3 linked regions of the Arabidopsis thaliana genome follow. The protein of the gene in region 1 interacts with the protein of each later gene in a pairwise test. Each region holds a gene or a part of one and is shown in the gene's direction. Other genes may lie near its edges.

Evidence for each region.
Region 2: the proteins of PLT2 (region 1) and NAC020 interact in a two-hybrid assay, tested with the Arabidopsis thaliana proteins (one study listed by BioGRID).
Region 3: the proteins of PLT2 (region 1) and MYB58 interact in a two-hybrid assay, tested with the Arabidopsis thaliana proteins (one study listed by BioGRID).

The regions. Positions count from the first base shown.
Region 1 is NC_003070.9:18,973,478-18,982,127, forward strand, and holds PLT2 (Integrase-type DNA-binding superfamily protein), read left to right. Parts: upstream 1-3,698; 5' UTR 3,699-3,872; intron 3,873-3,989; 5' UTR 3,990-4,039; coding exon 4,040-4,178; intron 4,179-4,430; coding exon 4,431-4,878; intron 4,879-4,966; coding exon 4,967-5,049; intron 5,050-5,202; coding exon 5,203-5,211; intron 5,212-5,317; coding exon 5,318-5,406; intron 5,407-5,503; coding exon 5,504-5,577; intron 5,578-5,701; coding exon 5,702-5,829; intron 5,830-6,091; coding exon 6,092-6,828; 3' UTR 6,829-7,141; downstream 7,142-8,650.
Region 2 is NC_003070.9:20,277,144-20,283,696, reverse strand, and holds NAC020 (NAC domain containing protein 20), read left to right. Parts: upstream 1-2,744; 5' UTR 2,745-2,807; coding exon 2,808-2,964; intron 2,965-3,116; coding exon 3,117-3,385; intron 3,386-3,502; coding exon 3,503-3,982; 3' UTR 3,983-4,190; downstream 4,191-6,553. Other genes in the region: ICDH (isocitrate dehydrogenase), read right to left, coding at 129-177; AT1G54320 (LEM3 (ligand-effect modulator 3) family protein / CDC50 family protein), read left to right, coding at 5,904-5,991, 6,235-6,293, 6,395-6,469, 6,547-6,553.
Region 3 is NC_003070.9:5,627,205-5,633,745, reverse strand, and holds MYB58 (myb domain protein 58), read left to right. Parts: upstream 1-2,657; 5' UTR 2,658-2,901; coding exon 2,902-3,040; exon of another isoform or gene 3,041-3,121; coding exon 3,122-3,251; exon of another isoform or gene 3,252-3,269; coding exon of another isoform or gene 3,270-3,331; coding exon 3,332-3,887; 3' UTR 3,888-4,091; downstream 4,092-6,541. Other genes in the region: AT1G16480 (Tetratricopeptide repeat (TPR)-like superfamily protein), read left to right, coding at 5,090-6,541. UniProt on the Arabidopsis thaliana protein: Transcriptional activator that binds DNA to the AC cis-elements 5'-ACCTACC-3', 5'-ACCAACC-3' and 5'-ACCTAAC-3' of promoters and specifically activates lignin biosynthetic genes during secondary wall formation mediated by SND1.

The DNA.
Region 1 (8,650 bases):
TATATATATACTACAATATTCTGATTTTACTAGATCTATATATAGTATGCCCAAATACTATATATAATTCTCTCTTGTTTCTTAATGATACGGCCAAAACTCTTCTTTACCAATTTCAGTTTCTTCTATATGCAATTTTCTTTTGTCAATTCTGTTCATTTTTATAAAATGCATGCAAAGCCAAACCTAACTCAGAACATAAATTGACAATATTTTTGATCGAATAAATAGACACGTGACGGTGGAGATATTACAAGAACAAGACACCAAAATCTGAAACGTTGCCAATAAAAAAAAAAGTAATGACCGGTGATATCCGGTGGCTAAAGACAACAAATTGCACCTCTCTTTACCCTTCTCGACACACATTTCAACTCCTTAGAGCAACATGAATGGTGGTCTATCTTATGAGTCCCTAAAAACCAAAATAATAATAATATTTTAATGTTGTTATTATATTTTAGTTTTTTAATAGAGTTTGACTACTAAAAGAACTACACGTGTATATTTAGGGTTGAGACTGTCCTTTAAATAAGGTTTTTTGGATCTCTTCTCTCCTCTGTCCTTCTCTTTTTAATTATTTTTTTTTTATTTTTATTATAAGGGATTCATAAGAGAGACCACCATTACTGCTGGTCTTAGATTCTTCCGGATTTCTGTAAGTTTTTTAATCTTTTGTTTATTTTTAGACCAGAACCTGAAGAACTATTTCTATATACTGAATAACTCGCTTTAATCTATTGTAATAATTCTATAATTTTTAGGTATACATTTCAATGGATCAGTTACTCTTTTACCTAATCACTCTATTTATTTATTTCTGTCATAACACCTTTTTCAGTTTTGTTTTTTACTTTCTTCTTCTTTTGTCTGATTCCTACTATGGCCTTTCATCCTTTTTTTTTTTTTGGTTGTGGATCTGAATGAAAGTTGTTCTTTTTGGTTTGGTGAGTACTTTTACAAAAAATGACATCTGTGAAAACAGAACTGAAGACTTTCAAGAAAGTAAAGTGAACATAGACACTTTACTATATTCGGATATGTGTTGCATATAATCGCAGTTGTAAATTGTAATTTGTCGAGAATAATTATCAATGTAGACAGTAATTTGCTAGATCTTATTATGCTAAACATGCATGCAATTTGGCTTGTTACCTTTTCTTAGTCAAACTCACTGTTTCTTTAATCTTATATTTAGGAAAAAGTCATTAATTTGGCGGGAAATTGTTGTAAAATGGCAACAGGTGATTCCTTTTTTTTGTCCTTTGTTTTACTTAAAATCTTCAAAAATATTATGAATCATATGATCACTATTTCCTTACATATTTAATCATATGATCAGTTGATCGCTGTTAGACACCATATCGTTATTTGATTATTATTCTTTAGATTCTAGGAGCATTAATTATTTCAGAGGCAGCAGTCTGAACTCTGAGTAAGTTCAGTTTGAGGAAAGCAAAAAAGGAAATTTATTTTGAATAGAATTTTTTTAATATAGACATTTTTTATACACATATATAAGAAGCAATATAGAAGGAAGATGTATAAACTTTGAAGCGGGCCTATTGCTATATAAATATATTTTGGGTGAGCCCTAACCCTCTTTTGTTTTTTTTCTGGCAATGGAAATTAAATGTTTAATGTTAAAATGATATCATGTTTCCTCAACTCATTGATCTCTCCTCACTAATTTTTGCTAGGAATATATCTATATATTATATATATAATCATCACTGTCCATAGTAATTAAAAAAACATTTCTTCAAAAATAATGTGATATTCGAACATGTGTTGTAACTTTATCCATGTATTGTGGTTTTATTTGTTTGCATTTATATCATAGTAAATCTTTGAAATTATGATTTGCATGTTTTAAGCAAGACGTGATAGGTACTTTGTTTTGAAATTAAATAATATATTTTTTTTTTCTTGAAAGGTTTAGAGTTTTGTCTTACTGTTGGGATAGTAACTTACTAACTTATGCCTGATAGTAACTTATTCTCATTTTGAATTATATAAGAGGTTGAAAATGTTGAATGACTATTCATCTCAGTTTTTACCATTTGAAATGATCTGAATGATGTTTAACTTTTTTTTTGCAGATGAATGAGCTGAATGATGTTTAACTTTTTTTTTTTCAACTAAAAAAATTTCAATCATTCAACTATATTTCATCCATTTGAAGCAATAGTATAATATAGTTATCTACGTGAGATTTGTTTGTTCTTCAGTTAAAAATGTGGATTATTGGATATCTATATAATGATATTACGGATATCTATAAAGGTAATAATTCATCTTATAGAGTAGAATATTAAACCAAAATTATAAATTGAGAACCAAAACGAATGCCATAAATTCTATAATGTAAATGGGAACTTGAGTTTTTTTTTTCTTGTTGAAGAGGATGTATAGTGTGGTTAGTGTTAAATATTGACCGATTCTCTGTTACGGTGAATGTACAAAAAATTAGCTATACAGTATTTATTATGTACATATACATTAATATGAACGGTGTTATGGATGACACAAAGGCATGCGACTAAACAAAGACCTGGCTCCTAGCACAATACGAGCTTCTAGTGTGCCTAGGACATAAGTAATTGTATCTTTTAACTCTTAAATATTGTTTTATTTTTATTTATTCAAATCACTTAACAATACTATCTCACTTTGACGGGTGCGAAATCCAATTAATCGGTCAACAGATTTTAACTCGGGAAAGCCAAAACAAAATCCCACCCCAATTTTTCTCCATTTACTAATTTTCTTTTTACAGGAGAAAAATATTTATTAATAGGATGTTATTCCTTTTTTCTTCCGTCTCACTTATATTCAAATTATTTTGAACGAAGAGTGACTTTTACTCTTACCAAATGTGCTTTGTTGATATTTAATTAATTACGTCTGTTCATATAATATTGCATGTCCGTACACACATGCAATGAACTCGGGGATCTACAAATAAACTATAATTTAAGAGGATCGATCCAATTGTTGTTTTATGTATATTATCTTCATATCTTGGACTCTCTCAATGAGATTGCATGTATGTGAACACGTAGACGTATACGAATACGTAGCCGTGAGCGTACACATGTATATGGATATGTATGTACATGTGTATGTTAGTATGTAGAGATCAGAGGGAAGAAAATATGGTCAATGGTAAGAGATGATTTGCGGAGTGTGGGAATGCTGGGCTTAGGGGAGTCATTAATCGCATTAAACGAGGGACGTGAGTTCCAATAATCCAAGTGGGTAATTTAGAGAAAGAGGTGATTTTAATTTTTTGTTGGTTTAAACTTTAGAGAGAGAGAGGGAATTAGGGTTTGGACTTTTTCTAGTTGGAAGCGTAGATTTGTCTTATTTACGACACTCGTGTCCCTATTTATTTCAATATCATATACAGATCTGCCAAACAGATATTTTAAAGAAGTGCATTTGTATTCATTTTAGTCACTTTATGTGCCAACATTATTTTAAAGTCCATTCAATGTAGTATTATTTTATTTATAAATGTGGTTGTGCATAAAAATTCTACTTTATTTCTATATATACTTGCATCTTTTTAATGGTTGCTAAATTAATTTACATCAGTCCCTCCTTGATGAGATCATAAAAGGATTATTTAAAAACATTTAAAGCGAGCCATAGGTTTAACTTTAAAAAAACCTGTTTAGCTTCCTAAAAATTATCTTTAAGACTTTAACAGAAATCTTCTTCTCCTTTGTTTCAACCTTCAAGTTACGAGAGAGATATATATATATAGTTTTTACTTTCTAGAGAGAGAACGTAAGGCAAGGATTTTGTTTGCAGCCATACTTGGAGAAAGCAGAACTAGATCTCTTCCTCTTCTCAATCCTTGACAAGTAATACCTCTTCATGATTTCTCTTTACCAAACTTGCGTTTCTCAAATCTCTTGACTTATATATCTTGTGATACGTCTCTAATCATTTTTTTTTTCTTCCAATTCCTATCATTTCAGATCAAATTATATACCTCACTGGTTTAAGCTTTGATTCCAAGAAAAGGGAAATGAATTCTAACAACTGGCTCGCGTTCCCTCTATCACCAACTCACTCTTCTTTGCCGCCTCACATTCACTCTTCACAAAATTCTCATTTCAATCTAGGTTTGGTCAACGACAATATCGACAACCCTTTTCAAAACCAAGGTATGTGCACTCACATTTATGTATATGTATGTTCATATTCAAGGCCTTAATGCAATTCTTTTATTAAACATATACTATTTGCTATGTTAAAAGCTTTTAAAAACGAAGGGTTCAAATATTAAGACATGTAAAATCGAAAGCATCATTGCACATGTTTTAAGATTGTTATGTTCATATATTTTCTTGTTTTTTTTACAAATTTTTGTTTGTGTTTTCACCACAAAAATAATTAATTATATTCTTTCTAATTAGGATGGAATATGATCAATCCACATGGTGGAGGCGGCGAAGGTGGAGAGGTTCCAAAAGTGGCTGATTTCTTAGGAGTGAGCAAATCGGGGGATCATCACACCGATCACAACCTCGTACCTTATAACGACATTCATCAAACCAACGCCTCCGACTACTACTTTCAAACCAATAGCTTGTTACCTACAGTCGTCACTTGTGCCTCTAATGCTCCTAATAATTATGAGCTTCAAGAGAGTGCACACAATTTGCAATCTCTCACTCTCTCTATGGGAAGTACTGGAGCTGCCGCTGCAGAAGTCGCCACTGTGAAAGCCTCGCCGGCTGAGACTAGTGCCGATAATAGTAGCAGCACTACCAACACAAGTGGAGGAGCCATCGTTGAGGCTACACCGAGACGGACTTTGGAAACTTTTGGACAACGAACCTCTATCTATCGTGGAGTTACAAGGTGTTTAAGATGTCTCAATTTTTTCGCGTGACAATAATAAAATGCGTATATAAATTTGTTACTTAATTTTTTGGGGTGTTATATATAGACATAGATGGACCGGTAGATATGAAGCTCATCTTTGGGATAATAGCTGTAGAAGAGAAGGACAATCAAGGAAAGGAAGACAAGGTAAGTGTAGTCATTTATTTGATTGATTACTTCATTTTATTTCCTCTTTCGGTCTTGTCTCGATCGAAATCTTAATTTCGGACTAATTATGTTCCTCATCATTCTTATGTTTTCTTGATGTTTGTATCTTGGACTTCTTCGAAATCTCTACAGTCTACTTAGGTGAGTATAAATGATTCTTTCATTTTTCTTTTGTTATTGATTATAATTTGATTTAAAGTAATGTATATACTGAAGAATGGTTTGTTTAATCGGACTATGCACTCAGGTGGGTATGACAAAGAAGAGAAAGCAGCCAGAGCATATGATCTAGCTGCACTTAAATATTGGGGTCCCTCTACTACTACCAACTTTCCGGTAAGTTATTTCAAATTTTCATGAATATTTGTAATTGTAATAATTGTTGATAATATCGTTAGTTCCTCCGTAATTTTTATTTGATTGCGTATTTTAGATAACTAACTACGAGAAGGAAGTAGAGGAGATGAAAAACATGACGAGACAAGAGTTTGTGGCTTCTATAAGAAGGTGATTTTCCTTTTAATCGGACCTTGAATGTAAAACTTCAAATAGAAGCTAAGTAGGAACTTTCTAATCAGATAATTCTATGAAAAAACTTTCTAATTAAAGAACCTCGCGTAAACAATTGCAGGAAAAGTAGCGGATTCTCGCGTGGTGCATCCATGTATCGTGGAGTAACAAGGCATCATCAACATGGAAGATGGCAAGCAAGGATCGGCCGAGTTGCTGGAAACAAAGATCTCTACTTGGGAACATTCAGTAAGAATAAATATTAACCATGCTTATATATAATTCTCTCAAATCATGTCTTCCTAAATGATATACAAGACCGTTTCAAACTAAATAGAGATCACTTTTTTTTTGGTGAGTACTATATAGAGATCATTAGATATAAATATTAAGTTTAATCTAATATCAAAAATATAATTCAGTTTTATTTTATAGAAAATTATGTGAATTAACACCACTTACAAGCTTAAATAGATATATGGTCATGCTTATATTCATATATTTTGCTCAGGCACGGAGGAAGAAGCAGCAGAAGCTTATGACATAGCTGCGATAAAGTTTCGAGGTCTAAACGCGGTTACAAACTTTGAGATAAATCGGTATGATGTGAAAGCCATCCTGGAGAGCAACACACTTCCTATAGGAGGTGGTGCGGCTAAACGGCTCAAAGAAGCTCAAGCTCTAGAATCATCAAGAAAACGAGAGGAAATGATAGCCCTCGGATCAAATTTCCATCAATATGGTGCAGCGAGCGGCTCGAGCTCTGTTGCTTCCAGCTCTAGGCTTCAGCTTCAACCTTACCCTCTAAGCATTCAACAACCTTTTGAGCATCTTCATCATCATCAGCCTTTACTTACTCTACAGAACAACAACGATATCTCTCAGTATCATGATTCCTTTAGTTACATTCAGACGCAGCTTCATCTTCACCAACAACAAACCAACAATTACTTGCAGTCTTCTAGTCACACTTCACAGCTCTACAATGCTTATCTTCAGAGTAACCCTGGTCTGCTTCATGGATTTGTCTCTGATAATAACAACACTTCAGGGTTTCTTGGAAACAATGGGATTGGTATTGGGTCAAGCTCTACCGTTGGATCATCGGCTGAGGAAGAGTTTCCAGCCGTGAAAGTCGATTACGATATGCCTCCTTCCGGTGGAGCTACAGGGTATGGAGGATGGAATAGTGGAGAGTCTGCTCAAGGATCGAATCCAGGAGGTGTTTTCACGATGTGGAATGAATAAAAGATGAATTCTCTGTGTTTTTTGCGAGGCAAGGTAGGGTATGGAATAATTAGCTACTTTAATTTCCACAAGTATTAGGATCGGCTGGAGTCTTCTTGATTAGTAGAGGATTTAGTGTTTTATTTTCTTACTTTTGACGGCGAAGATGATAAAACTTGTAGACGGCGGTTATCAGAGTCCTCGAGGGTTAGTCTTTTTAGGGGTACTATAGTAACATTAGAAAGTACCCGAATTTTGTTTAAAAGCTAACCCTTCTGACTAATTTTTCAAACTTGTATTCGTAATTTATAATTGAAGATTTATTGTTCTTATATTTTTATTTGATTATACATACTTACTAGGATTTAACCCATGGTACACCACGTAGCAAATATTTTATTCATATATATAATAATATTAAATTTTACGGTTTTAGTTTAGTATTAAAGTTATATAATTTTATATTAATGTTGTAAATAAAAAAATTAATGATGATAAAATAACAAAATAAATATTTAACCTGTGTTATATTAATTTAAATCCATCTTGCTATATTTCATATCTATCCAAACCCGTCCGGCTATATTTTTCGTCTCATGATATTTTAATTTTTTATAAGTTTAAATATTAGTTGTGGAATTAGTTGTGATTGTGATTTTATGCCGAAAAAATTATGAACTTTTAATTCCATGGAAGATTCAAACCAAGATAATGAATGTTTTTAGGTGCACATATAATTGGATTTGTTCATCATACGGGATAGTAAATGTATTTTGGTTTGTTTCACAATGTTTGTTTTAATTTATTGCCAAAATTTAATACATATAATTCAAATAGTTCAAATTTTTGTTGTTTTAAGATTTAATGAATATTGTAGGTGAGATAAAAAGAAGATAATTTATTATGTTTTGCGTGACATATGGGATTGCCATATATTTTAAATCTTTTTGGTTTGTTACACAATTAATTGCCGTAAAAAATCAAACCATTAATTAAAAAAATCAAATAATTAAAATTTAGTGGCAGCCATTGTAAATAAGTCACAACTCCATGATTTATTTCACAAAATATATGCAAAAATGTATATGTAGATTTATGAATTTAAGTGAAAATTGTGCATAATTATAATGCTTACTATGTCTCTATACATAATCTTTAACTCTATTTAGTCAGTGTGCACATAATTTTTGCTTATTAGAAAGGTTTCTTTTGGAAGGACTACAACTCTCAAGTCCCTCAACAACCAATAATGGGGAAAGAAGCTTAATTCTTGGGTCACAAAGCATATGCCTTTTGGGAAGGAGTTTAAAAACATACTTATCTGAGTTTCTGGTCGTTACAAGAATGAAAAAATATGGGTAGCTCGAGATCTGTGATTATGCGTTTACTCACATAGAAATAACATTCATTTCACTGTTGCATTGATCTATAAAAAAAATGCTGGTAGAACAAAACGTTGTACGAAATTAGTAGTGTATAACTTCCTCCACTTCTCCAAACACCAAATCTTGGATCATTCTTAGAGATTTTAATCAAATCATCACTTTCAGAAGACTATTTCTCGGTGAGAAATGATTCTACCCCTTCAAGGTATGATTGTATAGCTTACATGCTTGTTAATCAACAAATGGATTTATTTTTTACTGACATTGATTTTTTCCATACTAAAATCGACAATCAAGGACTTAACCTGTTAAGAGAAAGCTTCTTAGATAACTATTCACATAACTGTATAATATTCTGTTTTTCAAAATTGCATGTAAAGTAAAACAAATAACATATATTGTATTCTTTGTTTCATATATAACTGACTAATTAAGGAGTTCAATTCACTTTGAAAAAT
Region 2 (6,553 bases), 1.3 Mb from region 1:
AAGAAAAGAAAAACCCGGAACAGAGCCGATCACATATACTCCAATATAAGCAAATCAATCAATCAGAGTAACGAGAAACCCATAATCGTAATCATAGATTTGAGCTAATTGACTGTTCGAACACTTACCATCCATTTCAACAACGGGATTGATCACCTTGATCTTCTCGAATTCCATCTTTGCCCGCAGAGGTTGGTAATGATCGACGAGTGAAATTGAATAGTGAAACGATCACCTCTGCTCCGCCATGAAAGACAGACGATAACAGCTCTATATCTCTATGTTGGGCCACACTCTTCCAAAAGCCCAAATAATCAAGCCCACTTATATATGGGCCTGATTCTGCAATTTGAAACCATGCTTCTCTTTTTGTATACTAGCATCATCTTTGAATTCCCCGCAGTGATAGTCAGCTTTAACAGTAATCATCAAAATCTTAAAATTGAAGAAGATCTGCTTTGGCTAATTGATTGAATAATTAATCAAAATTTGAGATAACAATCACGAGGTGGTCCTGTAGGATTAGTATATTAAAAAGAGTAATGAGTGTGACCACTTTAACAAGGGTAGAAATGAGATTTAATGCATGGAGAAAAGCAAAAGGCAAATAACGCAAATGTTTTTGGACAGTGACATTGTTCTTCTGCTATAATTGAGATGCGTGAAAAAACATGAAAGCAAGAATCTCTAGAGACACAGGGATTCCAACTTGTATTATTTAAAGGCTTTTCTTTTTTCCTTGGATCAGTTTGTTTAGCACAAACTAATATGAGATGGAAAAAAAATATGTTTTGGAAACCGACATGTAGGGAATCAGATGCTACTTTTTCTGAACAAGACTCTTCTTCTCTTTTAGAAGAATTGTGATTGATGTTGATGTTTAAGATGATGTATGATCATTTTATTAACAAACCAACAAAAAAGGGATGATGTATGTATTATCATGATACATGATACATGTCAACATGTATATCGTATGTATGTATTATCATGATTCCCCCATAGAGTCCCGCCTTTGCCAATTTCGTCATGGATATATATACACGTAAAGTTTGTTTACTATTCATTTAATAATGTCACTATTGTGTTACGTCTAATTAATTAATGTTTATTTGATACTCTAGATATCAATACTATAAGCTTGAGAAAGAGTATAGGTACTTGATACATGTGAAATGGAAATATAAAAGGGTTGATAAGATAAGATGCTTAGATCTTAATTAGCTTTATTCGCTTCCCCTTAGATCGTATCAAAGGTTGCATGTCTTTAGTTAGGCTTGCATGTTAGCTTCCTCGTTGTCTTTATTAATTAATTAATCCACATTCCTTTTGCATTTGTGATACAACATTTATATATATAGTCACATTTTTTTTTATATATAGTACTCACATTAATTACTTGTTCATATAGACTTAGACTCGATTTGTGACCAAGAAAAACAAAGTGGTGAAACAATTGGGGCATGTCTTGTTGTTGTCGTTTGATAAGTTAAACTGTTAAAGCATCTTTCGCCAAAATATTTTTCAGTTGCTATCTTTTGTTTTTTGTATCTGTCACTCTCTCTCTCTCTCCCTAAGTTATTGGTGACCACATCTTAAAGCTTCCCTAAAATGTTATTGTTATTTCTTTCTCACGGAAAAGGGAGAGTTACTTACTTGAAGTTTGAATATTATACTTTATAAGAATGGAGGAGTTTTATATATGTCGCAACTTGTGGACTCCCTCAGTATTTGATCATTTCCTTACATAAAACGTTTGATTACTTCATTCTGTTAAATTCCGTTTACAATGTTCTTCGTCTACATGTGAATTATATATATTAGCAAACGAAAAAAAACCATGTAAACGAGACATCTAATATATGACATGAGTTATATATATCATACATGTGAAGAATGAAGATGTCCTTATTTTTTTAATTTATCTTTTGGATCGAGGCCGAGAGTCGAGGCAAAAGAGATTTGACCGGAAGTTAGTAAAATTGAAGGGCCGAGAGAAAGAGAGTCAAAGATTGTGTGGGAGTAATGATGTAAAAGAGCCGAACAACGTCTTTAATCCATATGTAAAAGGGACTAAAGAAGCCTCCCAACACTAAAGCCAAAGTCGACTTGGATGCCTCCTGCTTTTTTATTCTCCCATTTTTTAATCATATATATGAATTCAATTTATAAGTATTCTTATTATAAGACCATAACAACATAAAACAATATAACAAAACTGTCAAACCGAAAAAAAAAGAAAAGAAAAAGCCGAGTGTTTAGGTGTCGCCAGGTAGATTTGGTTTGAGAAGAAGAGATGGGTCCCCTAAACTGTTGAATCATAAAAAGCCTTCATTTTTGGTTTAAAGCAAACGTTATAAAAATCCCTCTATAATGATTCATGACCCACGTTAAGGTCTAACCGGAATTATAAGCATATACATTCATATATGTGAGTATTTGTGAGATGGGGCCTTCTTGCTAAAGCTTTTTCCGTCTCTCCTCCTACTAGGGTTTTCACACTTGCAGAATCTTCAAAAGCCAGAGTTAGGTTTTTATTTAAAATATATATATTGGTTTTAGAAAATATGTGTGATGAGTATCATGACAAACACTGACCAAAAAGCAACCCAAAGTAAGACAAAATATTAATCTCAGAAGATGCCAATCCCATGGCATACTTTTACACATTCCCATATCATATCTTCTTCAGAGTCTCATCTTTTTAATTATATATAGTCACCTTCATATGTCGTACGAACATCCTAATCACTTTAATTAATCTCTCTCATCTCTTTCTCTCTCGTTTTCTAACGCATACACTTTGAATGGCGCCCATGAGTTTGCCTCCAGGATTCAGGTTTCATCCCACTGATGAAGAACTGGTGGCTTACTATCTTGATAGGAAGGTCAACGGCCAAGCCATTGAGCTCGAGATCATCCCAGAAGTTGATCTTTATAAATGCGAGCCATGGGACTTGCCTGGTACGATCCAACTCTTTATATCTCTCTCTATATATGGTTCAGCTTGTTTATGTCAATCTGACGTTATAGATTACATATATTGGTCATGATGCATTCATACATATGATATTGGAGGTTTTATGAGTTATTTATTTGGATAATACGCGGAACAGAAAAGTCATTTTTGCCGGGAAACGACATGGAATGGTACTTTTACAGCACAAGGGATAAGAAGTATCCAAATGGCTCTAGGACGAACCGTGCGACCCGAGCGGGTTACTGGAAGGCCACGGGGAAAGATCGTACAGTAGAATCAAAGAAGATGAAGATGGGAATGAAGAAGACACTGGTTTATTATAGAGGAAGGGCTCCTCATGGCCTTCGTACTAATTGGGTCATGCATGAATATCGTCTCACGCACGCTCCTTCCTCCTCCTTGAAGGTAAATTATTTCCCATGCACAAACTTCTATTAACATATATATCTATATTCATTTCTGATCTAATTTTTTTTTTTTTGATAAACCATATCGACTAATATTAATGTTGATCTAAAACAGGAGTCGTATGCATTGTGCCGAGTGTTTAAGAAGAACATACAAATTCCAAAGAGAAAAGGGGAAGAAGAAGAAGCAGAAGAAGAGAGCACTAGTGTAGGAAAAGAAGAGGAAGAAGAAAAGGAGAAGAAGTGGAGAAAATGTGATGGTAATTATATTGAAGACGAGAGCTTGAAAAGAGCATCCGCGGAGACATCTTCATCAGAGCTAACTCAAGGGGTCCTTTTAGACGAAGCAAACAGCTCATCCATATTTGCTCTTCATTTCTCATCTTCTCTTCTGGACGATCATGATCATCTTTTCTCAAACTATTCTCATCAGCTTCCATATCATCCTCCTCTTCAACTCCAAGATTTCCCTCAACTTTCTATGAACGAAGCAGAGATTATGTCAATCCAACAAGACTTTCAATGCAGAGACTCTATGAACGGGACACTTGACGAAATCTTCTCTTCTTCCGCCACTTTCCCCGCTTCCCTTTGATAAATCCATATCTCATACTATCATCTAGTACTTCTTTTCTCAACTTATTTAAATATACTCGGGTACTTCATATATAGTATTTTTTTTTTTACTTGTTTTTTGCTTATGAATTAGTTTGACTGGTGAAAAAGGGTGAGGAGGTTTGTGGAATTATTTTTTCTACCACAAAAAGAAATTGCATTATTTTATTTTAATTTTTATCATTAGGTGTGTATGGTACTTAATCACTAGAGTTGGTTGGTTTTGTCATATATAGGAGGGAAAACGGAAGTAAAAATTGTGTAATCGATCGACATTACTTATTGGTTTGCATACTTGTAGACTTAAAATCTGGCATGGGCGTCATGGCAACGCAAATTTGGAAAACTTTTCGGATTATATATGTCCGACTGCGGATCAATATCTTATTTAACTATATATATGTGTTATGAATATGAAACAAAAGTTTTAAAATCTGAATGAATAAAGAAAAAATTCTCAAGAAAAGAAGCTGAAAACAAAGAAGAGAGAAAAATCGAGACAAATTTCACTACAAACAAAATAAATTCTTTATTAAAAAAGATGAGAATTACAAGACAATGATTAAAGACATCTCGAGTTTATGATACTATATATAGTTTGTGATTGATTTGGAAGATACAAACAACATTATCATGAAGAAATCTCTAGTTTATGATACTTTTAATTTAATTTAACCAAGTGATAGTGGTCTAATAGTTTTCACTTGAAGACGAATCATCGTTTTTGTCTAGGTCATACATTGATCTCTCTCAAATGCAAGATTATTTAATCATTCTTATTATACTATCCCTAAAACAATCTTACTATAAATGAATCTTTAAAATATATATATATATATATATATATATATTGCAGTTTCAAATCCAAACATATAATAAGATAATAATTTGTTCGTTTGAAATTCAACATGATCGTATATGCATAAACTTGCAATAAAACATACTAAACTTTTTAAATTTTGTATTCATCAATTAACACTGATCATAATCCCATCCTCTAAAGTATAAACTCTAGTAAAACCTCTATAAATTAATACTCGATAAATTAATAATCTCTATAAATTAAGAAATGTTTTTGGTTCCGAGTTGGGATCAGTATAAAAAGTGACACAAATCGATAAATTAATAAGATAATAATTTTTTTGAAAATCCTATATAAATATATGGTCTCATCAATATCATAAATTAATAATTATTTAAATGTATCAATTATATATATACATTATATGTAAGAAATTTCTTTGAAATATAATTCTAATATTTGTTTGCTTAAATTTGTATTTATCCTTATTTGAAATATAGTTTTAGTATTTTACTATATCAAAAACTTTTGGTGTTATTTTCTAAATATGATATTATTTTTTACTTGTAATTGATTCTTGAAAGATATTTTCTATAATGAAAAAAAATCTTATACAAATTTTTGAAAAGTTACTAAATTAGGAAAAATTTTCTATTAATTAATAAATATTAAATTATCGATAAATTAAAACCCCTCTAAATTAATAAAATTTTGCAGTCCGAACATTATTAATTTATAGAGGTTTTACTGTATCCAATATTTGAAGGAAAAACGTTCCAAATCAAAAAATTTGTAGAACTTAAAAACATTTTATGATGCATGGGAGATTTTGGGCTTCAACTCAACAAAATAGAGTAAAGCCCATTATAAAGCCCACAAAGTGGGCCTTTCATTTTGACGTCAATATGGGAATAATACCGGTTCTTTCTGTTAACGACGACGAATCTTCGTCTTCCCCTTGTTCTTCTTCTTCCTCTTCATTTTACTTTCTCTTCCCGATTTCTCTCTGTCCGATTCACCTTTTCCTCCGATCTCGGTCTCCTTAGATTCCGGAATAATCCCCTCAAGGCTTGGCTTAGTAATCGTCGTTTTCTCCGCCATGAGTTCCAATACGGCGTCGTCCAGCGCGGGGGCAGCCGGATCGGGAGATTCTTCCGCCGCTAGGAAGAATTCAAAGCGACCCAAGTGTATTTATCATCTTCCCTTCGCTATCTTCTTCCGATTATTCATTATGGCTTATCGTTGACTCTTCTGTCTTATTCGAATTGGATCAAATTCTCTCTGGACTTGCTAGTTTTTCAATAACAATTTGTTAACAGCTTTGGATTAGCTCAAATTCTTTGCAAAATTGTCGTTACAAAGATGGTTAGGGAACCATGGTCAAAGCTATGGCTAAAAGGTGTGATTTTGTTGGCAAATATCTTTTGCAGATTCGAAGTTCACACAGCAGGAGCTTCCAGCTTGCAAGCCAATTCTAACCCCTGGTTGGGTTAGATTTCTTTCTAATCTCTATTGATGTTTGAGACATCTGATTTCTGTACAAGGCGCAACTAAAAGCTCCTTTTTTTACATGTTTGTGCTGTTGTGCAGGTCATTTCGACATTTTTGATAGTCAGTGTTATCTTTATTCCCCTTGGAGTTATCTCCCTTTTCGCTTCCCAGGATGTAAGTAGTTACTAAAGCATTGCTGCTACTCATCAGATTCTCTTCCATATCTCACGTGTTTCATCTCCCATGTTTAGGTTGTGG
Region 3 (6,541 bases), about 13 Mb from region 1:
TTATAATTTCTAATTCAAATAGTTTATAGTTGGTTTATGATGTGAACACACTATTATATATACATAACTTGTTCTATTAGACCATTGTTATAAACAAAAAGTCAGTGAATATGATCTTGACGTTGAATGATTTTGACCAAATCGAATTGCAGTAGGGATGCATTTCTGAATTTCATTGCACATAAGGCAAAGAAAATATAAATCTCTTTTGTTTTTGCCAAGAAATATACATATAATCCTAATTAATTTGTTTGGCAAACAAGATCTTGCTCAACTGCTACCGACGTATGAGTATGACCATTAGTATCACACCAGTCACCAATCAAATGCATAATCAAATCTATTAATAAAAACATCTTTCTATTAGTAAAAAACTTTGGTGTTTCACCAAACAAATACATTATATTGTACATACATACTGTCACCAAACATATATACATCCTCTATTTAGTATTTTTGTTTTGTAACTTTTGTTGTAGAAAAAAGAACAAACGTTGCAATCAATTAAAAATATGGTTCTCTATTCAAACATGAAACAACTATAGAATAGAGAGAATTATATTGTTAAACAGTTGAGCTCATTTCAGTTTTATACATTTTAATACGTTTGAGACCGAATAGTTGAATTAGGGAGCCATCTCTCCTTTAAAGGGATAATATATGACGCTCACCAGTACTAGTCCAAAGTATAATTTTATACATTTTAACATAGAATTATTAATTTGTTGTACCACATTTATGCAGTCCAACCGCAATAAGATATAGACCAAATTTCTTATATTGTAACATACGTTCACCACTCTTCGTTGCTAGCTAGTTAGCGGTACAAATATTAAAAGGCAAATTCAACTATTATTCACACCTTAGTAAACAGAAAATGTACTACGGATTCATTTCATTGTACTTGTGGTATTTTATTTACGAAAACGGGCGGCCGAACCAAATCAAAGACTAGAGACAGAGGCGTGCCAATAGCAACACGTTTGCTTTCGTCATGCAAATTGGGATATTTCAACTTTCTTCCATTTTTTCAACCTAGTTTACTAAACTTTTCTTTTTCCAGTGCGAACCTAATTGGTTCTAGTTAAAATAACATTTTCGTAAGTTGTTCACCAAACAAAGGAACATATGATTATAACTTTACTAGAGATGCATGCACAATAATGCTATTGTCGAATAAATACTTATATCTTCTCCAAAAAAGTTTCTTTATTATGTTAGAAGATCCATCAATATACTAATTGATTTTTGGTTATATGTTTTGATTTAAAGACAAAACTATACAGGACATGCATGTGAGAACAAAAATTGTTGTTGTTGTAGTTGCTAGTTGAGTTTTATTTATGTTGCCAAAATAACACCATGTCAACTTTAATTTTCGTCATATAATTTAACGTAAGCATGATGTGTTTCGTCATATCTTGTTTGGCATATGGAATATAAATCATACTATTGATTTGGAATCTTTAACTTAACTTCCTATTAAGTAAGCGATTGATGCTGATATGTATGTTTCTTTAGATTGATGAACGTAATATTAATCAGTAGTGGATATACATTGTATCTTTAGAATTTAGGTTAGTATATTATGGCCAAAATGACTAAATTGAGTACCATAAACTAAAGTTAAAGTAGTGGTAAAAGCTTACGATATTGTTTTATAACAATTTTCAAAAAGTAAAAGATATATAAATGTTAGAGGTTTTGGATAACCATATTGTTCTATAACATTTTAAACATATGTCATATATGTTTCGTTTATAATATTTATGACTTGACCAAATAATTTGTGTATGTTATTTAAATCCAAATATATATGAGAAATATATAGACGACATGATTAAAATTATTTAAAAGAGTCATGATGAGAGGGATGGAGACTAAAAAAAAGAGGAGAAAAAGATAGAACGTCGAGAAATGTTGTGTGTGTATAAAGTAAAGGAAAGCTAATTTGATCATTGTATTCGAAGAAAACAAAAAAGTATACACATGTTACAGGGTTATAGGACCCATTTTCTTTAAAATAAATCCACTATGGACTGATGTACATATTTTTTCTTACTGTTCTTAAGCATGATTTTATATGTATAATATGGTTATAGATTAGAATTTTATTCAGCCTTCCACGATTCTTAACCCTAACCAGTCAATTTTTTCTTCCTTATAAATATGAGTGCCAATCGGAAGGTGATAGCATCCTTACGTCTTGTTTGGTAGATTACTAAGTCAAGTTTTATTCATGAAATTTCCACTTATCAAACTTTCTCATTTTGTTAAAATTTAAAACCGTTTTTCAAAAGTTGGTATAGCCATAGACAGAAAAAAATTATTACAATCCTATCTGATTTGACTCAGACACCCTAATTAGTCAAATCTCAAAATTAGCTAATATTAACTAACGAGTTGCGCATTTTGCAGCAGTACAACAAAATTAGTCAAAATAATTTAGGATAACAGCACTAATCACAGGAACAGGTATTTTTTTTTTTCCTTTCTTTTGACATCATAAAGATGGATTCAACTTATAGATTGGTCAGAGGCAATCTTTATAGGTTTCATGATTGAATAAAAAATATGAGACTCAGTATCTAAGTTTCAAACATGTTTCATCTGTGTTTAGTTGATTACATTTTCATAATAGTTTATTAATGACATATAGAAATGCGAACTATACAATTATAAAAAAGATGTGAATTTTGCCAGATACTCATCCACAATATAGACAAGTTTTTAACCTCAACAAATCTGATGTGACATTTGTCAATGTCTGTGGTTTATAACATGTTTCTCAATGTCAGGATCACACACACCACTTCTCATGTATAAATACACATAAAAGCAATTGGATTTGGTAAGAGGGAATCTCAAAAGTGTGTGTCTGTGAGAGAGGAGAGAGAGAATATGGGCAAAGGAAGAGCACCATGTTGTGACAAAACCAAAGTGAAGAGAGGACCATGGAGCCATGATGAAGACTTGAAACTCATCTCTTTCATTCACAAGAATGGTCATGAGAATTGGAGATCTCTCCCAAAGCAAGCTGGTATGTCTATGATCTTTAAAAGCCTCTTTCTTTAGCTTTTCTAGTCTTCTGGTTCTGATTCTATCTATGCATGCAATGAAGGATTGTTGAGGTGTGGCAAGAGTTGTCGTCTGCGATGGATTAATTACCTCAGACCTGATGTGAAACGTGGCAATTTCAGTGCAGAGGAAGAAGACACCATCATCAAACTTCACCAGAGCTTTGGTAACAAGTATGTGTTATCTTGTTAATGTCTTGTTGTGGGCTCAAAGTTTTGATTTTGACAATAGCTTTTCTGCATTTTGGATTCAGGTGGTCGAAGATTGCTTCTAAGCTGCCTGGAAGAACAGACAATGAGATCAAGAATGTGTGGCATACACATCTCAAGAAAAGATTGAGCTCGGAAACTAACCTTAATGCCGATGAAGCGGGTTCAAAAGGTTCTTTGAATGAAGAAGAGAACTCTCAAGAGTCATCTCCAAATGCTTCAATGTCTTTTGCTGGTTCCAACATTTCAAGCAAAGACGATGATGCACAGATAAGTCAAATGTTTGAGCACATTCTAACTTATAGCGAGTTTACGGGGATGTTACAAGAGGTAGACAAACCAGAGCTGCTGGAGATGCCTTTTGATTTAGATCCTGACATTTGGAGTTTCATAGATGGTTCAGACTCATTCCAACAACCAGAGAACAGAGCTCTTCAAGAGTCTGAAGAAGATGAAGTTGATAAATGGTTTAAGCACCTGGAAAGCGAACTCGGGTTAGAAGAAAACGATAACCAACAACAACAACAACAGCATAAACAGGGAACAGAAGATGAACATTCATCATCACTCTTGGAGAGTTACGAGCTCCTCATACATTAATGAAGCCATAAAGCAAGTCATTTTCACCTTGAAAATGGAATTATTAGCTAACTTATTGGCATTATTAGTATATAAGCAAGATCAGATAGGCGCATGTAGTAGCAACAACGAAGAAACGTCGAATTGTAGACAAAATGTAGATATTACAGAGTTGAAAGATTGTATTTTGCAAATGATTGCTTTGTAGTGAAATCAAGTTATCACAAGCTAACAAGTAACAACCACCTAGATTTGGAAAGCTGACAGATGAAAATTGATTCATCACCTAACAGTTTCTACATAAGAACAAACATAGACTTCTCTTCCAAAATAGATATATCTTCAGCCAAGAGAGTAAAACTTGAAGAACGAAAATGTTTTAGCTTTCACAGATTCTGATGAATACATCGATTGAATCATTCACACAGTTTCAATTGCAAATGCTGAATTTCAAAGGAATCATTTTTTTTTGTTTTGCTTTTGTTTGTTTCTGTAGATATTAGATTCACTTACGCTACATCTGAGTTCTCAACCATGTGGAAGGTGAAGTAGAATACAAACGATTCAGAGAACTTACCCGAAAAAATCCGATCAATTTTCCAATCTTTCTTCGTCCATTTGTCGTTGCGAGACCTAGAAACACTGTGAGACTTGCAGAGGGTTCAAATGGTGTAGGAGAAAACACTTGGGGTAAAATAAGTAATAAAATAATAATACAGGGTTTATATTGCAATTATTGTTTTTAAGATCCGGTACAAAACGGTTTTATATAGTCCAGTGATTCCGGTTTCTGGTACGCCTTTCCGGTTATTTTGGTTTTTGATTTAAAAGAGCAGTCTTTTTTGCTTTCTAGGTTGGTTTCAAATCGTTGATCTTTCCGGGAACCACCGTTGAACACCGACGAATTAGAGCTGGCCAGCTGGCGACGCAAAGTCCTGTTTTTTCAGGGCGGCGATTCTCGTTTGCTCAGTGGATCTGTCTCCCGCCAGTTCAAGACGCGACGAATCTCGACATTGCAATGTTTGAAAAGAGTGGAAGGAAAAAAAGTTACCAGATTGAGTGGATGTTTCTCGCTCTCAGACCATTGGAACCCGGAAATATCTTGTTTCGATCAAATTGGTTTCTCTCAAATCACTATAGAGACTACGGGGAGAGCTGTGCATGCGCTTTGTGTCAAGGGATTAGTTCGTCTGAGTGTGTTGCACACCAACACTTTGATTAACATGTACACCAAGTTTGGCCGAGTCAAACCTGCGCGCCACCTGTTCGATATAATGCCTGTGAGAAACGAAGTCTCTTGGAATACCATGATGTCGGGGATAGTCCGTGTTGGATTGTATTTGGAAGGAATGGAATTTTTTCGGAAGATGTGTGATCTTGGTATTAAGCCAAGTAGCTTTGTGATTGCTAGTTTAGTAACAGCTTGTGGTCGGTCTGGTTCTATGTTCAGAGAAGGGGTTCAAGTTCACGGCTTTGTGGCTAAGTCTGGTTTGTTGTCTGATGTTTACGTTAGTACTGCTATCTTGCATCTCTATGGGGTTTATGGATTGGTTTCGTGTTCAAGGAAGGTTTTTGAGGAGATGCCTGACCGAAACGTGGTGTCTTGGACTTCACTGATGGTTGGTTACTCGGATAAGGGTGAGCCAGAGGAAGTAATTGATATCTATAAAGGTATGAGAGGAGAAGGAGTTGGGTGTAACGAAAATTCCATGTCTTTGGTAATCAGTTCCTGCGGATTGCTTAAAGATGAATCTTTGGGTCGTCAAATTATCGGACAGGTTGTCAAATCGGGACTGGAGAGTAAGCTGGCAGTGGAGAATTCGCTCATATCCATGTTAGGTAGTATGGGAAATGTAGACTATGCAAATTATATTTTTGATCAAATGTCTGAACGTGACACAATTTCATGGAATTCGATTGCTGCGGCATATGCACAAAATGGTCATATCGAGGAATCATTTAGGATTTTCAGTTTGATGCGTCGTTTTCATGATGAAGTGAACTCCACCACTGTGTCTACTCTGTTATCAGTTTTGGGTCATGTAGATCACCAAAAATGGGGTAGAGGAATTCATGGTTTAGTGGTTAAAATGGGGTTTGATTCGGTTGTTTGTGTGTGCAATACTCTTTTGAGAATGTATGCAGGCGCTGGAAGATCAGTAGAGGCAAATTTAGTGTTCAAACAAATGCCCACTAAAGATTTGATCTCATGGAACTCCTTGATGGCTTCTTTTGTCAACGATGGGAGGAGCTTAGATGCGTTAGGACTTCTTTGTTCAATGATAAGTTCCGGAAAATCAGTGAACTATGTGACTTTTACAAGCGCATTGGCTGCCTGCTTTACTCCTGATTTTTTTGAGAAGGGTAGGATCCTTCATGGACTTGTAGTGGTCAGCGGTTTATTTTACAATCAGATTATTGGTAATGCATTGGTTTCCATGTACGGAAAGATAGGTGAGATGAGCGAATCGAGACGGGTACTATTACAGATGCCTAGACGAGATGTAGTAGCTTGGAATGCTCTTATTGGTGGCTATGCTGAGGACGAAGATCCCGACAAGGCCCTGGCGGCTTTTCAAACTATGCGAGTGGAAGGTGTTTCTTCAAATTATATCACAGTGGTAAGTGTTCTTAGTGCTTGCTTATTGCCGGGTGATTTACTTGAACGGGGGAAA